4 linked regions of the Yarrowia lipolytica genome follow. The protein of the gene in region 1 purifies or fractionates together with the protein of each later gene. This does not show direct contact. Links are inferred from orthologs where the notes say so. Each region holds a gene or a part of one and is shown in the gene's direction. Other genes may lie near its edges.

The links.
Region 2: the proteins of YALI1_C30287g (region 1) and YALI1_A21919g purify together in Saccharomyces cerevisiae (affinity purification with mass spectrometry; 3 studies listed by BioGRID). This does not show direct contact. The link is inferred for Yarrowia lipolytica from reciprocal best matches to the Saccharomyces cerevisiae genes LSG1 and YRA1.
Region 3: the proteins of YALI1_C30287g (region 1) and YALI1_B18707g purify together in Saccharomyces cerevisiae (affinity purification with western blotting; 8 studies listed by BioGRID, with this or other methods). This does not show direct contact. The link is inferred for Yarrowia lipolytica from reciprocal best matches to the Saccharomyces cerevisiae genes LSG1 and RPP0.
Region 4: the proteins of YALI1_C30287g (region 1) and YALI1_C07137g purify together in Saccharomyces cerevisiae (affinity purification with mass spectrometry; 9 studies listed by BioGRID, with this or other methods). This does not show direct contact. The link is inferred for Yarrowia lipolytica from reciprocal best matches to the Saccharomyces cerevisiae genes LSG1 and ARX1.

What each region holds. Positions count from the first base shown.
Region 1 is NC_090772.1:3,026,105-3,030,587, reverse strand, and holds YALI1_C30287g (uncharacterized protein), read left to right. Parts: upstream 1-1,830; coding exon 1,831-3,957; downstream 3,958-4,483. Other genes in the region: YALI1_C30310g (uncharacterized protein), read left to right, coding at 1-693; YALI1_C30255g (uncharacterized protein), read right to left, coding at 4,307-4,483. UniProt on the Saccharomyces cerevisiae protein: GTPase required for the nuclear export of the 60S ribosomal subunit. Acts by mediating the release of NMD3 from the 60S ribosomal subunit after export into the cytoplasm.
Region 2 is NC_090770.1:2,190,241-2,194,152, forward strand, and holds YALI1_A21919g (uncharacterized protein), read left to right. Parts: upstream 1-1,649; coding exon 1,650-1,928; intron 1,929-2,778; coding exon 2,779-2,949; intron 2,950-3,162; coding exon 3,163-3,384; downstream 3,385-3,912. Other genes in the region: YALI1_A21913g (uncharacterized protein), read right to left, coding at 1-1,068. UniProt on the Saccharomyces cerevisiae protein: RNA-binding RNA annealing protein. May have a role in pre-mRNA metabolism. Component the TREX complex, which operates in coupling transcription elongation to mRNA export.
Region 3 is NC_090771.1:1,869,227-1,872,668, reverse strand, and holds YALI1_B18707g (60S ribosomal protein uL10), read left to right. Parts: upstream 1-1,935; coding exon 1,936-2,880; downstream 2,881-3,442. Other genes in the region: YALI1_B18727g (uncharacterized protein), read left to right, coding at 1-1,156. UniProt on the Saccharomyces cerevisiae protein: Component of the ribosome, a large ribonucleoprotein complex responsible for the synthesis of proteins in the cell.
Region 4 is NC_090772.1:711,935-715,768, forward strand, and holds YALI1_C07137g (uncharacterized protein), read left to right. Parts: upstream 1-1,832; coding exon 1,833-3,287; downstream 3,288-3,834. Other genes in the region: YALI1_C07152g (uncharacterized protein), read left to right, coding at 3,341-3,438, 3,834-3,834. UniProt on the Saccharomyces cerevisiae protein: Probable metalloprotease involved in proper assembly of pre-ribosomal particles during the biogenesis of the 60S ribosomal subunit. Accompanies the pre-60S particles to the cytoplasm.

The sequences.
Region 1 (4,483 bases):
ATCACTGAGAAATGCACGCCAGAAGTCATGACAGCGGTTTTCAGCAACAATGATGGAGAATTGATCATAAATATGAAAGATCTGAGCGCCTCGGAGACTCCTCTTCCCGCTTTCGGATGTCATTTGCCCGGAAAGATGTCCTTCAAGTTACAGGTTGTGGGAAAGACAGCTATTGTGGCTTTTGTAGGGGGCGAAGCGCGATATTCGAGTATCGTGAGCCCTAAAAAAGCCACGGTCCAAGCTGAGAGAGGTTGTTTATTGTTGAGAGCTCCAGCCGGGCTCTTGTTTTACGATGGACATGTGTTTGATGTGATCATCGACAGTCATTGGAGACCAATTGTGCAAAGCTCAAAGTCCACAGAAGTGCTTCCAAAGGAGTGGGATCTAAGTAGGCATCATAGGGTGGAACAAGACAGTAGGTATCGCCACTATGCCTTGATTTATAATCACAACGGTTTGGTTACTGCCCTCGTCGACTTGAAGACTCACAGACTGAAACAGTTGACCGACGTCTCGGACATTGCGCGGGAACACACTTCCCCGATAGATGTTTATCTCACGGTTGTGGGCTTATCCAACGGTTCTGTTGCTGTGTGGAGGTATACAAAGCAGTACTTGGAGAACAAGTATCGACAGCAGCATGGAGTTGATATGATACCTGAAGAGGCGAACAGTTTGATTCAAGGAATATAGAAAAATTGTCACCAGTTGTCGTAGTAGATGTCCACAATGGTTTTTTAGTATATGTACATACAGTATGTACTGTAGTCTGTATATACTGAAGTACACTACACAGTGAGTTCCTTCACCCTAGTTATACAGAGCGAAGTATGACACTTACTTTTAACAAGTCAAGCTTCGGCTGAAAAATTATGTTATTATAAAATAAAATAAAATAAAAAATAGGTGAGTGGTGCAAGCCATTAGAGAAAGTTGTTGACTAAGATCGCAAATGTATGCTTCCACTAGTACTAGTACAAGTACATTGTAATTGTAAAAGCACAGGCTCCTGGCTTTCCTTCTCTGTCAAAAGATCATGAGACTGTTCATCTTTTCCTCTTCTGAATACTCATCATGATCAGCCTGTTTTTAAGGACCCACTAGGGGTGGGAGATCACCGACCTTGTGATATGCCACTTTTGCAAACCAAATGAAGCATGTGAATGACACGAGTTCCTCTCATTAAATGTCGATTTCATCCCATCTCTTACTTGTTCATACAGGTACTTTTACTTGGTCGTCTTGTACTGTACTTGGTGTACTTGTGCATACTGTACTTGGTGTACTTGTGCATACTGTACTTGGCCCTGCCTGAATCTGCCTACAAGCACTAAGGCACCATCGTCTAACGACCAAGAGTTGGACAAAGAAGCATTATTAATCAAAATCCCAAACAACCAAAATATTACAAACCACGCAAATATCCCGCTCCACCAATTTCACGCAACCACCACGTTTACTCGCAATTCTACTCCCCAACCGCCAGTCTTCCAACCGGTTCTATGTTGCCACAGTAACAAATAAAGTTCACTGATATGATCTAAACCAAGTGAGAAACACTGGCTTCAATGAGTCATTCATACACTATAGAACCTTCAAAATACCTCCCTCGGACTCATATTTCACTGTATTATCGATTCCCGCTTTCTCTCAACGAATTGCTCCCAAACCCCCCTTTTTTCCTGTTGCTCAGTTGTATCGTGTCACACTTGCACATCACGTGACCGTGCAGGTTGAAACTCAACCTTAAAAATTATTTCTGCATCATATCTAAGGTGCTGGGGTCCTACGACCTCATCCCCCACTACACGAAATTTATATTATCTGAACATGAACAAAACACCGTTGCATTCCGATGTGGTCAAGCCCAAGGGTCCCCCCTCGGGACCCAAGCCGCAGTACCACAAAAAGAAGACCCCCAACAACACGGGACTCGGAAAGACTCTGATGAACCGAAAGGCCAAGGAAGGACGAGTCTACGTGACCGATTCTGGAGAGACCCGATACACAACCGAGGAGAACAAGGAGGCCGGGTGGGTCAAGCTGCGATCCGTCACCCAAGAGAAGGCTCTGGACGAGTTTCTGGCCACCGCCGAGCTGGCTGACACTGATTTCACCGCTGAGCGACGAGCCCACACCACCATTATCAACACCCATGACAACTCCAACCCTTACCTTTTGACCAAGGCTGAGGCCGAGAAGCTGCGTGAGAAGCAGCTGGAGAACGCCGGCAAGCTGACTGTTCCCCGACGACCTGTTTGGACTGAAGATACCACCTCCACCCAGCTCGATCGAGAGGAGAAGGAGGCGTTTCTGCGATGGCGACGAAGTCTGGCGGAGCTGCAGGAGAACCAGGATCTGCTTCTGACGCCATTCGAGCGAAACATTGAGGTGTGGCGCCAGCTGTGGCGAGTGTGCGAGCGATCCGATCTGGTTGTGCAGATTGTCGATGGGCGAAACCCTCTGCAGTTCCGATCCGAGGATCTGGAGTTGTATGTCAAGGAGATTGACCCCCGTAAGCGAAACCTGCTGCTGGTTAACAAGGCTGACCTGATGACCGAGGAGCAGCGACAGATCTGGGCCGACTATTTCAAGAAACACGGAATTCGATACGCCTTCTTCTCTGCTGCCAAGGCCAAGGAGGAGCTGGAGGCTCTGGAGGCCCGAGAAGAGGCTCAGGCTACCAAGAAGCCCGCCAAGAAGCCCGTCAAGAATGACGATTCCGACGACGAGGTGTCGGCTCTCGAGCGAGAACTTGCACAGTTTGTCCCTAAGGAGGAGTCTGAGGATGAGGATGAGGAGGAAGACGAAGAAGACGAGGAAGACGACGTTGAGCCTTCTGTCACCGAGATCCAGGAGGCCGTTCCTGCTAACGCCCATGAGGAGGCCAAGGCTACCGACGAGTCCAAGCCTGACACAGAGAACATGCACTATTCCGTCATGGCCACCCCCACATCTATCCTGTCTGTGGACCAGCTCGAGCAGCTGTTCCTCGCCGAGGCTCCTGCTCCCATGCAGCCCGCTCCCGCTGGCCAGGAACCCCGCCTGAACATTGGTCTGGTCGGTTACCCTAACGTTGGTAAGTCTTCTACCATCAACGCCCTGGTGGGCTCCAACAAGGTGTCTGTTTCTGCCACCCCTGGAAAGACCAAGCACTTCCAAACTATCCTGCTGTCACCCAAGGTGATGCTGTGTGATTGTCCCGGTCTGGTGTTCCCCAACTTCGGTAACACCAACGGAGAACTGGTGTGTAACGGTGTGCTTCCCATCGACCAGCTGCGTGAGTTCACCGGTCCCGCGACCCTCGTGTCTCGACGAGTGCCCAAGTACTTCCTCGAGTCCGTCTACGGTATCAAGATCTACACTCGTCCGGTCGATGAGGGCGGTCTCGGATATCCCACAGCCACAGAATTCCTTGTGGCCTACGCCAAGGCACGAGGATACATGCGTGGAGCCTCTCAGGGTAATCCCGACGAGTCGCGAGCTGCTCGATACGTGCTCAAGGACTACGTTAACGGAAAGCTGCTCTACTGTCATCCTCCTCCCGACTACAGAGAGGATCTGGATGACGAAGATGCCGGTATTCTCTTCAACAAGGGTCTGTACACCCTCAACCAGCTGCCTCCCTCGCGTCAGAAGCAGCTGCTTGATGCTGCTGTTCACTCTGGCATTGCTCGAGAGGATTTTGACCTTGAGCGAGACATTGACAAACTGTCTTTCTCCCAGCATGCCACTGGAGCCGGTGGTTTCGGTGGTAAAGGATTTTCTTCTCTCGGCGAGCATCTGGACGCTGACTACTTTGGAAAGAACTCATCAGGAGGCAACATGAGCACCCCCTTCCACCAGCGAGGTGCTGCTCAGGGCACCAAGAAGCATTTCAAGGGCAAGAAGGTCAAGGCCCGAAACGCCCGGTCCACCAACGACAACTACGGCGGAACCTACGGCGATATTATTTAAGCGGATGACGGCACGACTAGGGAAATGACTTGGGAAGACGATGCATTATAGATAATTATGATACGATAGTGATATGACAGTAATACAGGTGGGTTGCATTACATTTTTGGATATTGTATTACATTCGATGATAAGATGTGTGACTTCATCAGCAGCTTCAAACACGTAGTGTATAGAACATCTATAGACATTCAATCGACAGATATGTATAAAGAGTCACACTCGATATCAAATGGTCTATTCAATCAATTGATCTATATACAACTTTACTTGTGCACCGCAAAATCAATTGTTTAAGCCCAGATCCTATCAGCAGGTTTGCTGGGCGGGGTGAGAGCGTTCGCTAAGTTCATGCAGTCTTGGCTTCCTCCTTGGTCATTCGTCCTCCGAAAATGGTCGATCCAATTCTCACATTGGTGGATCCCTGCTTGATGGCTTCCTCAAAGTCAGAAGACATGCCCATGGACAGCTCCAGACCTGTGATATCAAAAGCCTGCTCAATAGAGTCTCTGATCTGTACCAGCGT
Region 2 (3,912 bases), on another chromosome or scaffold:
AACGCCATGGACAGCTGTCACATGCTCACTGGACAAATTAGCCTGTCTGACAGACTCTTCAATCTCAAACTTGCCCGGGTTGTTTGCGATAGCCGCGCCAACACCTAGAGATGTAGCCTTGAGCCGCTCGGGTCGTTCCACCAACGAGTCCTTGTATTTTTTTCCCATCCATGAACGACCAAAAGTGTGTTTGTACGATAGGGGAGATTGAACAATTAGCGTCTGGGCAGTTCCCGAGAAGCACCCAGGATATATCTTGTCAATTGCAATCTTGAATGACGTCACAGCGTCGTAATCATCTGAGGAGGTGGCCACAATCTTGTGAACAGGTGTCTCAGGGACAACTGCAGGGGTTTCTGTTTTCAAGGGAGTGGCTTCAGGGGTGGCCAACTTGAGCGGAGTTGCTTCAGGAGTATTTCTGTGACTGACATGAGGGGTCTGAAATTGTGTGGAAGGTATGGCTGGACTTGAGTGTCGTGAAGAATGGCCCGAATGAGGTGCTGAGGGAGGTACTGAAGACACAGTACCAGAGGCACCCATGTCGAACAGAGCTGGGTCGATAGCTGCTCCATCCTCCAGTCCAGGCTCCTGCTTGATATATCCGTTATATCGCTGTCCATGAGACATGTCTTCACCTCCTGGGGCGGATCGTGTATGCGGCGTGTAATAGGCGCTTGGTGTTTGGGGTGGCTCTTGTTTCACAACTTGGGGGGTATAAGGCTGCTGGGTGTGAGATTGTTGCTGAAAATTCTTGTCCCACGGTTTGGGGATTCGATGGTTTCCATTTGGCTGTTGACTGCCGTTTTCAGGTGTCTGTTGCCGCTCCTGATACTCCATCTTGGTTGTTGTTTTGGTGGAGTGCAGATGTAACGCGTCATGTGTGGACTTAATCTGAACCGTATATTTGAGACATGAGATAGGGTGTTTACTGAAACGGAGAGTGTTCATGTGACCAGAAAAGGGATTGAGGACACATTTGGACTTTGAAAACTTCATAGACAAATACTTCTTGACACCCTGACTGATGGCTTCTCCACATGTATGTATTGTACCTGTAGCCCACCTCATCTCCTACCAAGCTTGGCTAAACGAGAGCTTTAGTCTATAGACAATCAGCCTCAACGGCTGGACATCAGGTTTTGAGAGGTACAAATCACAGTTTGTTTTTTGCTAAAATTGTTCAAGAGTACCACGTGTAATCTCTCACTTGTTCCTGTCACAAAAATACCCCTAGTTACGTATCCCTCAATTCTGGTATTCGTATTTGTATTTCTCAAGTCATGTGTGAAGGAACTTAATTTAAGAAAGGGGCTGGTATACGGATATGCACTACGTTCGAGTGTGTACTTCTTTACCACACCGTCCAAGGGCAAGTACAGCACCACCATATATAAGGATGCAGCATATACAATACACACGTTTATTTTGATCACGCACCCATTTATCTATCATATATCACCCTCCCACCATGTTACAAATGGGGTATGTCACCAACGGTTTAGCGCGTTTTGAACCCTGGCCTTGGTGAGGAAACTCAATTGGGGTTACCCTGCCGAGAGCTGGGGTAATTTGCCAGCGCCACTTATCCCAACTCGCCGACGAAAATCGAACCTCGTACTTCCACACCACACAACACCACACACTCAACCATGTCCAACCTCGACCAGTCCCTCGACGAGATCATCTCCGCTGCCCCCAAGCGATCCAACCGAAAGAACCGACGAGGAGCAAGCGCTGCTGGAAACGGTGGAGTCCAGAAGGCCACCCCTGCCGCCCCCAAGGCTGGTACCCCCAAGAACAAGCAGCAGAAGCAGCAGCAGCAGAAGAAGGTCGCTGCTATTGTCAACCCCATTGACGAGGCCAAGAAGCTCGCCAGCAAGGTCATTATTTCCAACCTGCCCCAGGACATTGGCGAGGACGCCATTCGAGTATGTTAAACCGAAGATACACACACGCGACACTGCTAGAGTGATGCGTGGAGTGGACTCAGTTGCACCTGCAGCCTCAAGGCGCACACAGCAACATCAACGGAGCTGATACCGATTCGTGAACGCTTTCTTCGAAAGTCAGTAGCAAGGGAAGTTGCCATTTTTGTGATGGCAGCACCTCATTCAACAGTAGCCAGTATTTCTGCTCTGCAAAATTCTTGGTGAAGAGTAACCGAATTTCCTTCTTTTTAGGAATAAGGTGAAGAGTAGCCAGACGCTTCCCAGTGAAGAATGTGGTGAAGTGATACGCGGTTTCGGGAGCAGATCTGGATCGTCCTCGGACTGATTCCTGCGCTCACGGCCATGCTTATATGGCCAACCGACATTCCGAGAACTGAAACTGAACGGCCTTTTCAAAAACAGCTGCTAGAGAGCTGAGAGCGGTGGGTTTTGCTTGTTGTCATAATGGAGAGAAAGATCGAAAGCACTCATTGCTAATGTGACACGAGCCGGATTGAAAGCTGATGATCAAAGACCTGCGCATATTCCTTGCCTTGTCTTTGCAGCTGTGCGAGGGAAGAAAAATCCATGTCCAGTTTCAGAAGTCAGCCCCTGGAGGCTGGCAAACCTGTTGCAAATTGCTTGTCGCAGGTTGTCCCTATTACTGGGATTTCTCAGGAATGAAAGTCTGCACCAGCCTGGCTGGGTCAGAGTTAAAGCCGCCAGTAAGACATTGTATAATCCTTGTCAGATTCCTCTGACACTCATTTATGCTCTGCTTTGCTCCCCATTTTCGGATCAGTTCCGTTGTGATTCACGTGATTCCTTAAGAACTCGTGCTGACCATTAGGACTACTTCAAGACTGAGATCGGACCCATTTCCGCCTGCACCATGGTCTACAACAAGGGTGGACACCCTGCCGGAATCGTCAATGTCACCTTCAAGCGACAAGGTGATGCTGCCAAGGCCGCCGACAAGTTCAACGGTACTTCCATCGACCGTGGAAAGCGATACATGAAGGTGAGCAGCTAGACATAACAGAGGAGGATCAAGAGAATCAAGAGGAGGGAAATGCCGGCGACAGTGACGACAAATTACGACCATGACACCATCAAATTGACACTCTGCCTTATTTGGACAGGCAGATGTTACTCTGGAGGAGGAATACCATTGATTGCCGTCTACTGCGTGCCGATAATTGCTTGAGACGAAGCGATTTGGATACTAACACAGGTTGAGTTGGTTTACGACCCTTCCAAGACCCCTCTGTCTGCCCGACTCCAGCCCAAGCCCGAGCCTGCTCCCGCCAAGGCCACCGTCAACGCTGCCGCCAAGGCCAAGCAGCAGCAGCAGCAGCAGCAGAAGAAGAAGGCCACTAAGCCCAAGCCCAAGAAGGCCCCCAAGAAGACTGTGGAGCAGCTCGATGCCGAGATGGCTGACTACTTCCAGGATTAAATAGAATTTAATTGATGTATATTAGCTTTTTAATACTGGTCTTGAGTGTTCTGTGTTATGATAATTCCCCCTCAAGTGGATTCTATATCCTATGGTTGACCAATTGTACGTACTGTAGCTACTTGTACTGCATTGTAGTATTGTATGTGCTGTGTCACTCGTCTTTTGTACAATGTGTCATGGCGGCAGCCGTCAGAGAAGGATCTGCCGTAATATACAGAAGCAGTTAATCACGCCGAAACAGAGACTAAAAGTTCAGTACTGGCGAGGCGACCCCCTGTCATGGACTCCAAACCCTGTGCCTTGTTTCTGTATAGATAGCTACTGTACTTGTAGACGCTAATTATTTCCAATCATAAATTCGAAACATCGCCATTCGCTCGTAGTATGATAGACTAACGGCCCTACCCCCAAACGATAGACAAATACACGAGTCTATGAAAACACTGCCTAATTAGAACGCGAAAAGGGGCATGCACAAACCTACTGGTACAGTATTGTATCATACTAAAAGCCCCATGATTATTA
Region 3 (3,442 bases), on another chromosome or scaffold:
AACCGCAGAACATCATGCTGGAGTGATCACGGAGATCGGAGTGGCCGTGATGCGGTTCCATCCGATTGGTCAGCCCGACAAGCCTTACGCAGCCCCTAAGATCTCGGCCCAGCACTTTGTTGTCAAGGAGAGATCGTCGGATCGATACCGAAACGGTAACTACGTCCCGGACCATAGAGACTTCTTTTGCTACGGTACGTCGCAAGTGGCGCCTCTAGCCGACATTCGAACAGTTTGGAAGGAACTTCTGACGGGCCTTACTGCCGGCTTTGACCAGGACCCGGTCTACTATGTGGGCCACTGCATCTCGGGGGACCTCAACGAGCTCAAGAAGATGGACTTCCACATTCCTGAGCTGCCCATCATCGACACTGAGAAGATCTGGCGTTGTATTAAAAAACAGGGCAAGGGCAACCTCACCTATCTTCTGGAGGCATTTTGCATTCCTCACGCCTTTCTCCACAATGCAGGTAATGATGCCTATCTCAACCTGATGGTGTTCCAGGCTCTGTGTGATCCCGTTGTTCGCCAGGAACACAGCGTGGGGACCAAGTTCAACTACGATCCACGAACCCCTCACAACAAGAGACGTCGAAAGAAGGCTATTGACTACCCCATCGAGTATGCCAATGACTACGACACTCTGGAAACCAACGTCAAGTATCTCGGCAAGCTGGACGGCTGCAACCGTTTTATCAAGATTGGTAACCTGGAAGAGGAGGAGGAGCTGATCCCCCGAATGTTGCCTGCTGTAGTAGTCAAAGCAGACTCCCTGGCAAAGGAGGCAGTCCTTGGCCCCAACTCGGACCGATACGAGCGACAGAAACTGTCTGAAGACGTTGAAATGACTGGCCAGACTGTTGGACCTATGGACATGCTTGTACAACCGGCTTTGCAGGGTCGAGGACGGTCCCCGAACAACCAGCAGTATCTACCTTCTCACAGCGGGTTTGACAGACCGACATACACCGCTCGCCGGTATGACCAAGACAACAACCAAGGTGCTCGAGCAGCCCACAACAGACAGGGAATGTACAACAACCGTGGACAGAACCACAAGAAGCGAAGACAACCAAGGGGCGACTTCCAGGGTGCTCGCAGCCGGGACTCTAGTCAAAAACGAGGATCTGGAGGTGCCTCTGGGACCCAGGAATGAGAACTCACGAAGCGAAGACGCACTGACGACTAAGCATCATTGAATATGATACCGTTATATAATAGTGATGTATGTTGTGCTGGCCACATCCTACATTCAGTTATGTGTACTCCGCGCTGACAACGTGGACTCACTGGGATACTGTGCGGGACTCTCGCCTTATGTGACTACTCTATACATACATACTGTACGGGGAGTGAGTGTCCCAGATCGTACATATATACAAGTACATACTACATAGTAGTTTGATGATGCTTAATGTGTGCAAATAGTGAAGAAACTTGAGACAAGCTCTCTAATCAACCGCTCACTACGTTAACTACGTTTATTTACGTGCTTTTTCATATCTTCGAAGTTTTGTATGTCTTAAAAAACGAAACTTCAGCTTGTTTGAAGCTGTACGTACGGATTAGTAAAATATGCGTGCCTACGTGGATGGTGGGGTGCGATGATCTCAACAAAAGTAGAAATTTTAGCCATTTGAGTAGAGGGGTGAATTTAAGACATGGGAAGGTAAGTAGAATACAAGTAACTATTCTCGCAGCATCAAAAATCGCTTTCGCTTACATAAAAAACCGACCTTATCCAGTTCTCCCACTCACGTGATATCAAGGTTAGGGGACACAGCCCAATTGGTGAAGTATATCACAGCACTGCGTAAGTTTGAGCATACCCACTCAGACTCCGCGTTGGGAGTTCATAACTCGCTGGTGAAATTTTTCTTCTCTTCTTCTCTTCAGCGGAATTTGTCTTTAAATATCCTATCAAACTAATTCGAAATGGGAGGCAGCACCAGCATCAAGAAGACCGAGTACTTCTCCAAACTGAAGCAGTTGCTTCAGGAGTACAAGTCCATTTTCGTCGTCGGCGTCGATAACGTCTCTTCTCAGCAGATGCATGAGATCCGAAAGACTCTCCGAGGCCGAGCAGTCGTTCTCATGGGTAAGAACACCATGGTCCGACGAGCTCTCCGAGAGTTCGAGGAGGAGCTCCCCGAGGCTGCTGAGCTTCTCATGCCCCTCTGCCGAGGCAACGTTGGTTTCGTTTTCACCAACGACGACCTCAAGGAGATCCGAGAGGTTCTCCTCGAGAACCGAGTTCTGGCCCCTGCCCGAGCCGGTGCCATTGCCCCTAAGGACGTCTGGATCCAGGCCGCCAACACTGGAATGCCTCCGGACAAGACTTCTTTCTTCCAGGCTCTCGGTGTCCCCACCAAGATTTCTCGAGGTACTATTGAGATTACCTCCGATGTCAAGATCCTCCAGCAGGATGTCAAGGTCGGTCCCTCCGAGGCTACCCTCCTTAACATGCTGAACATCTCTCCTTTCACCTACGGAATGACTGTTGTTCAGGTCTACGACAACGGCCAGGTTTTCGGTTCCGAGATTCTGGACATCACCGACGAGGAGCTCATCTCCAACGTCATTGGTGCCATCTCTACCATCACCGCCATCTCCCTTGCCGCCAACTACCCCACCCTCCCCGCCGTGTCTCACTGCATCATCAACAACTACAAGAACGTTCTTGCTCTGTCCATTGCTTCTGACTACACTTTCGAGGGCTCTGAGGCCATCAAGGACCGAATTGCCAACCCCGAGGCTTACGCCGCTGCTGCTCCTGCCGCCGCTGCCGCTTCCGGCTCTTCTGAGGCTGCCCCTGCTGCTGCCGCTGAGGAGGATGAGGAGTCTGAGGATGACGACATGGGATTCGGTCTTTTCGACTAAGCTCTTAGTTAGTTAAAAATCTACTACTTATCTGTAAACCCTGGGATTGTAGAATTGCGCTGTGTATTTATAATAACGTTGTGTCCTCCTACTATGACTAAGACCCGCATTGAGCTGAGTGGAGTGTGCTACCTGTAACGTTGTGTATGTACTGTACTTGTAATATGAATACGATCTTTAACACTACAGTAAAAGTATCAACATTTGAACTGTTGATTTATTATGTGCAGTACAAGTATGAACTTGTACGATCTATATGCTCTTTTATTTGAATAATATATTTATACTATACGACTATTATACGCCCAGTACAATATCTCTTTTTCAGTGTGAGCTTTGTCCCATTCCGTAGGATTTTTTTCCCACAGGTTTTTTTTATTATTTATTATTATTATTATTATTATTATTAATAATAACATAACAGTACTACTTGCAATTACTTGCCATGGTGTGATGAGTCCCTCTTCTCAAACCTACTTCTGACACAACATGGTATCAGAAGTCAGAACAAGAACAGCAAAATTCGCTCAGAAGGAAGGAAGGCAGATATAGTGTTAATTCG
Region 4 (3,834 bases), about 2.3 Mb from region 1:
CTGTTGTCTTGTTCCGGTTCATTGTTGTTCCGTTGGTGCTCATCATATTGCTGGTATCGCTGAGTGCTCCGGCACAGTCTCGATAGGTGCTCCGACACAGTCTCTCGTGATTGCCATTTCCACTGATGTCTTCAGCATATCAATTATGTTGGGCTATCGTATCAGTGGCAACCATCGCTGTCATTGTCCGTACAGTACTCACATCTTGTCTGAGTTAGTATTGAAGAGGTAGCAAGTCCAGCTGGCCCGATTGAGCTATGATTTAAGGGATTGTGAACAGCAGCCTTTAGAAGCATTCAGTCAAGTGCTTCTAAAACACCTCTGAAATGTAGTGCCAACAGTGTGATGCGCAACGTGTGTGGATGCCGTATCATCACGTAGACAGAGTACCTGTATCTGAGGGTCCCCTAACAGCCACTGTCGTCACAAAAAGACACCCAAGCGCCGCTGTATCGCCAATCCCACACAATGTTGTCGCTCAAGCCCTCAATCTCCAGTCACTGCTCCGACTTGCCCCCTACCCGCGCCCATACCGTGTACTCACAAACTAAGACCCAACTGAGTCAGTCCTCCAACGACGGTCAAGGCGCCAACGCCGATATTGGCGAGCCGGAACGCACCGCCCAAATCCATGCCTGAAATCGCCGACATGTCTGTGTGTATATTCTTGTGTGTCTTTTTTTGGTGTGTGTTGTGGTGTGGAGATGGCCAAGTGGGATACTGGAGATATGCACGAGGTGCATGTGGCGCTGGACTGGGAGGGTGGTTACTAGATCTCCGAGAGGAGCTATGGGGATTTTAATGATACCATTTTGATCGACTAAGCGAGAGGAATGGAATGCACCTTTCAGAAATTCAAAACTGCCACTAATCGCCATTGTAAATCCCCCCCTAATTCCCTTAGTAAGCTCGTCCCGTTGACTCAAACTAAAATTAGCCGCTGATAGCGAGCCTATAGTGGTCACATGAGATAGAGAGGTTGGTTGTGTGGCGATATTCGAGAGAAGGGAGCATGTGGGTGGTTAGTCAGACGAACATACTGCTTAGTCAGGTCAGACGTCACCGCTCATTTGCTCTCTCTTCTTTTCTCTCCTCTTTTTTTTTTCTGCAACTCTTGCTCATGTTAATTTCAATCCAACTAATGGCTCAACTAAAAGAAAGTCATCAACTAAATCTAAGTAATACCAACTAAACACTACTTGTTCCTGACATGGCTTCTCGGGATAAATATCTTGTCGTATATTAGTAAAAACTATTTAATCTTCCCCACAAAGAAGCTTCAAAATGCTTTCTTGTTCAATTATCACTTATGGGAGCTTTTATCGCACCAGTACATTCTTTACCATAGTCCCTACACCAGCTCCCCACAATATACTCACCATATGCCCCTTAATAAACCCAAGAAGACCCAATATTGGTATCATTCCACTCCTCCAGAACTCAGCTTTCTATTTCCACCACTATCCCCTCTATTTCTCCAAGTCTTCAAACAAGACAACCCCTCAACATCGCCACCAATGGTCAACAAACATCACATCTATAGTCTCAACTAAATATAAGGTTCTTCAACAAATTGTCGTATCAAACCACCGCTTCAATCTTCCCCTAAGCTAATTAAATCTGCTCAAAAACAGTACTGTAGATTTATTACATCATCCTGACCCTCCAGCCCAAATCTCATGTCTTTATCTCTTCTCTGGAACATACCACCGGCCGCCCAAATTACGTCGTTTTAGCTTTTAAGGCCCTAACCCTCAAATATTTTTCCACCTTGCATAACAGTGTAATTTTTTTTTTTTTTGGACCTCACATCTAACCCACAACTAAACATCATGTCTCTGGCCCGATCTACCGCGCTTCTGGACGAAAAAAACACACTGACGAGCTCCGTCACCGACAAGTACCGTCTGGCCGGCAAAATCACCCAGACGTGTCTGCAGCACATTATCCAGACCGTTCTGACCCAATATGAGACGTACACGGTGGGAGAAATGTGCCGTATGGGAGACGAGTTCCTCGAGCGAGCCACCACCGCCGTCTACAAGTCTGTGGCCGAGAAGGGCATTGCTCAACCCGTTCGAATCGAAAAGCAGGAGTTTGTGGGAGGAGTGAGTCCCGAGAACGGCGACAAGTTCCAGGGAGGCATGTTGGCGCCCGGCGATCTGGTCAAAATCTCTCTGGGAGTCTACATTGACGGATATACTGCCCAGGTGACACAAACAGAGGTTGTGCGACACGTGCCCAATACCTCTGCTGGCGAGACCGAGCAGCCTCTGACCGGATCTCCTGCCGATGCGGTCTGTGCCTCCTACCTGGCGTCCGAGGCGGTCATTGCCTACCTGGCCCAGGTGACCGATCCCAACCCCGGCAAGGCTGTTGGAGTTGTCACCGGTACCAAGATCCGAGAGCTCGTCGAGAAGATTGCTGCTGCCTACCACGTCAAGATTGTGCCTGGATCTTCTGTGCGACGTATCCGGCGTTTCCTCGCTGGTCAGCACGACATTGTGCTGGAGCGAGACTACAAGGGCGTTCTCTGGGAGGTTGAGGGCGAGGAGGAGCGAGCTCTTCACGCCGTCAAGCTGGCCGAGTCCGAGGCTAAACAGGAGTCCACCGAGGGCGCCGTCTGTCTGTACGAACAGCACATTGAGGAGGAGGAGAACTTCACCGTGGAGGCTGGAGAGGCCTACCAGGTCGACATTCAGATGGCTGCAGCTCCCCAGAAGGGCGCTATCCGTCTGTACGACTTCCAGGGCTACGACGAGTCTGGAACTGTGATCAACCAGTACGGACGAGACTTCTCTGTCACCTATGGACTCAAGATCCAGGCCAGCAGAAAGCTGCTCAGTCAGCTGGAGGCTACCACCTCCGTCTACCCCTTCAAGCTGTCCCACGTCGAGTCCAACGTTGCCAAGGCCCGTCTGGGTTTGGGCGAGATTCTGGCCCATCAGATTCTGGTGCCTATTCCCGTCAAGGTGGCCAAGTTTGTGCCTCTGGCTGCTCTCTACGAGTTTTCAAAGAACTCCAAGGCCCGGGCCCGAGACGAGGCTTCCAAGGCTGTTCCCGTTGCTCGAAACTCGTCTTCTGTGCTGCTCACCAATGACGCCTGTCTGCGACTCACTGGAGGCCAGGCCTTCCCTCCTCCTTATGTGCACTCTGCCTTTGAGCTGCCCGAGGACGTGACCAACCTACTCAAGCTGGTGGGCCACAAGCACGGAGCCAAGGTCAAGGATGTTCTTCCCGGCGACGTCGACATGGCTCCTGCAAAGGAGGCCAAGATGGAGGAGTAATCGAGTAACCGATAGTAACCGACCGAGGAGACAAGGAGAAGGAGAAAGAAGCCATGGAATTGGCCTATGTTGATGCGATGAAGCAAGCAAGCAATAGCTCACAACGAGCAACACCTAGGATATTTTGGATGGACGTTAGCATTAATAGATTGTTATGATATATGGTTCTCGGGACTGGAGGGACACCGACCACTGTAGTGTTTGTAGTGGCACAGGTACTGCCCAGCGAAGACCAGCTGGCACCATTTCTGTGAGATGCTGAACCTCCATGAAACAATACGAAGCATGACTGAGTAGTTAGATGCTATACCAGGTCACTGTGTATCAGATATCTCCGCCAACCCGTTCTATCCAAATAACAGCTGCGGCGATTCACAACACTGGCTGTATCGCCGTCTCAATCACTAGACAGTCTATCAAGACCTTTATCACCGGAGTGGACATACACTCATTCATGGCTCGTTTACCTACTGTACCTGTAGATGTGCTTGGTCATTATCGCAGGACTGGACGTCATGGCCCATGGCTCTTAGAAACGGCTCTCAGA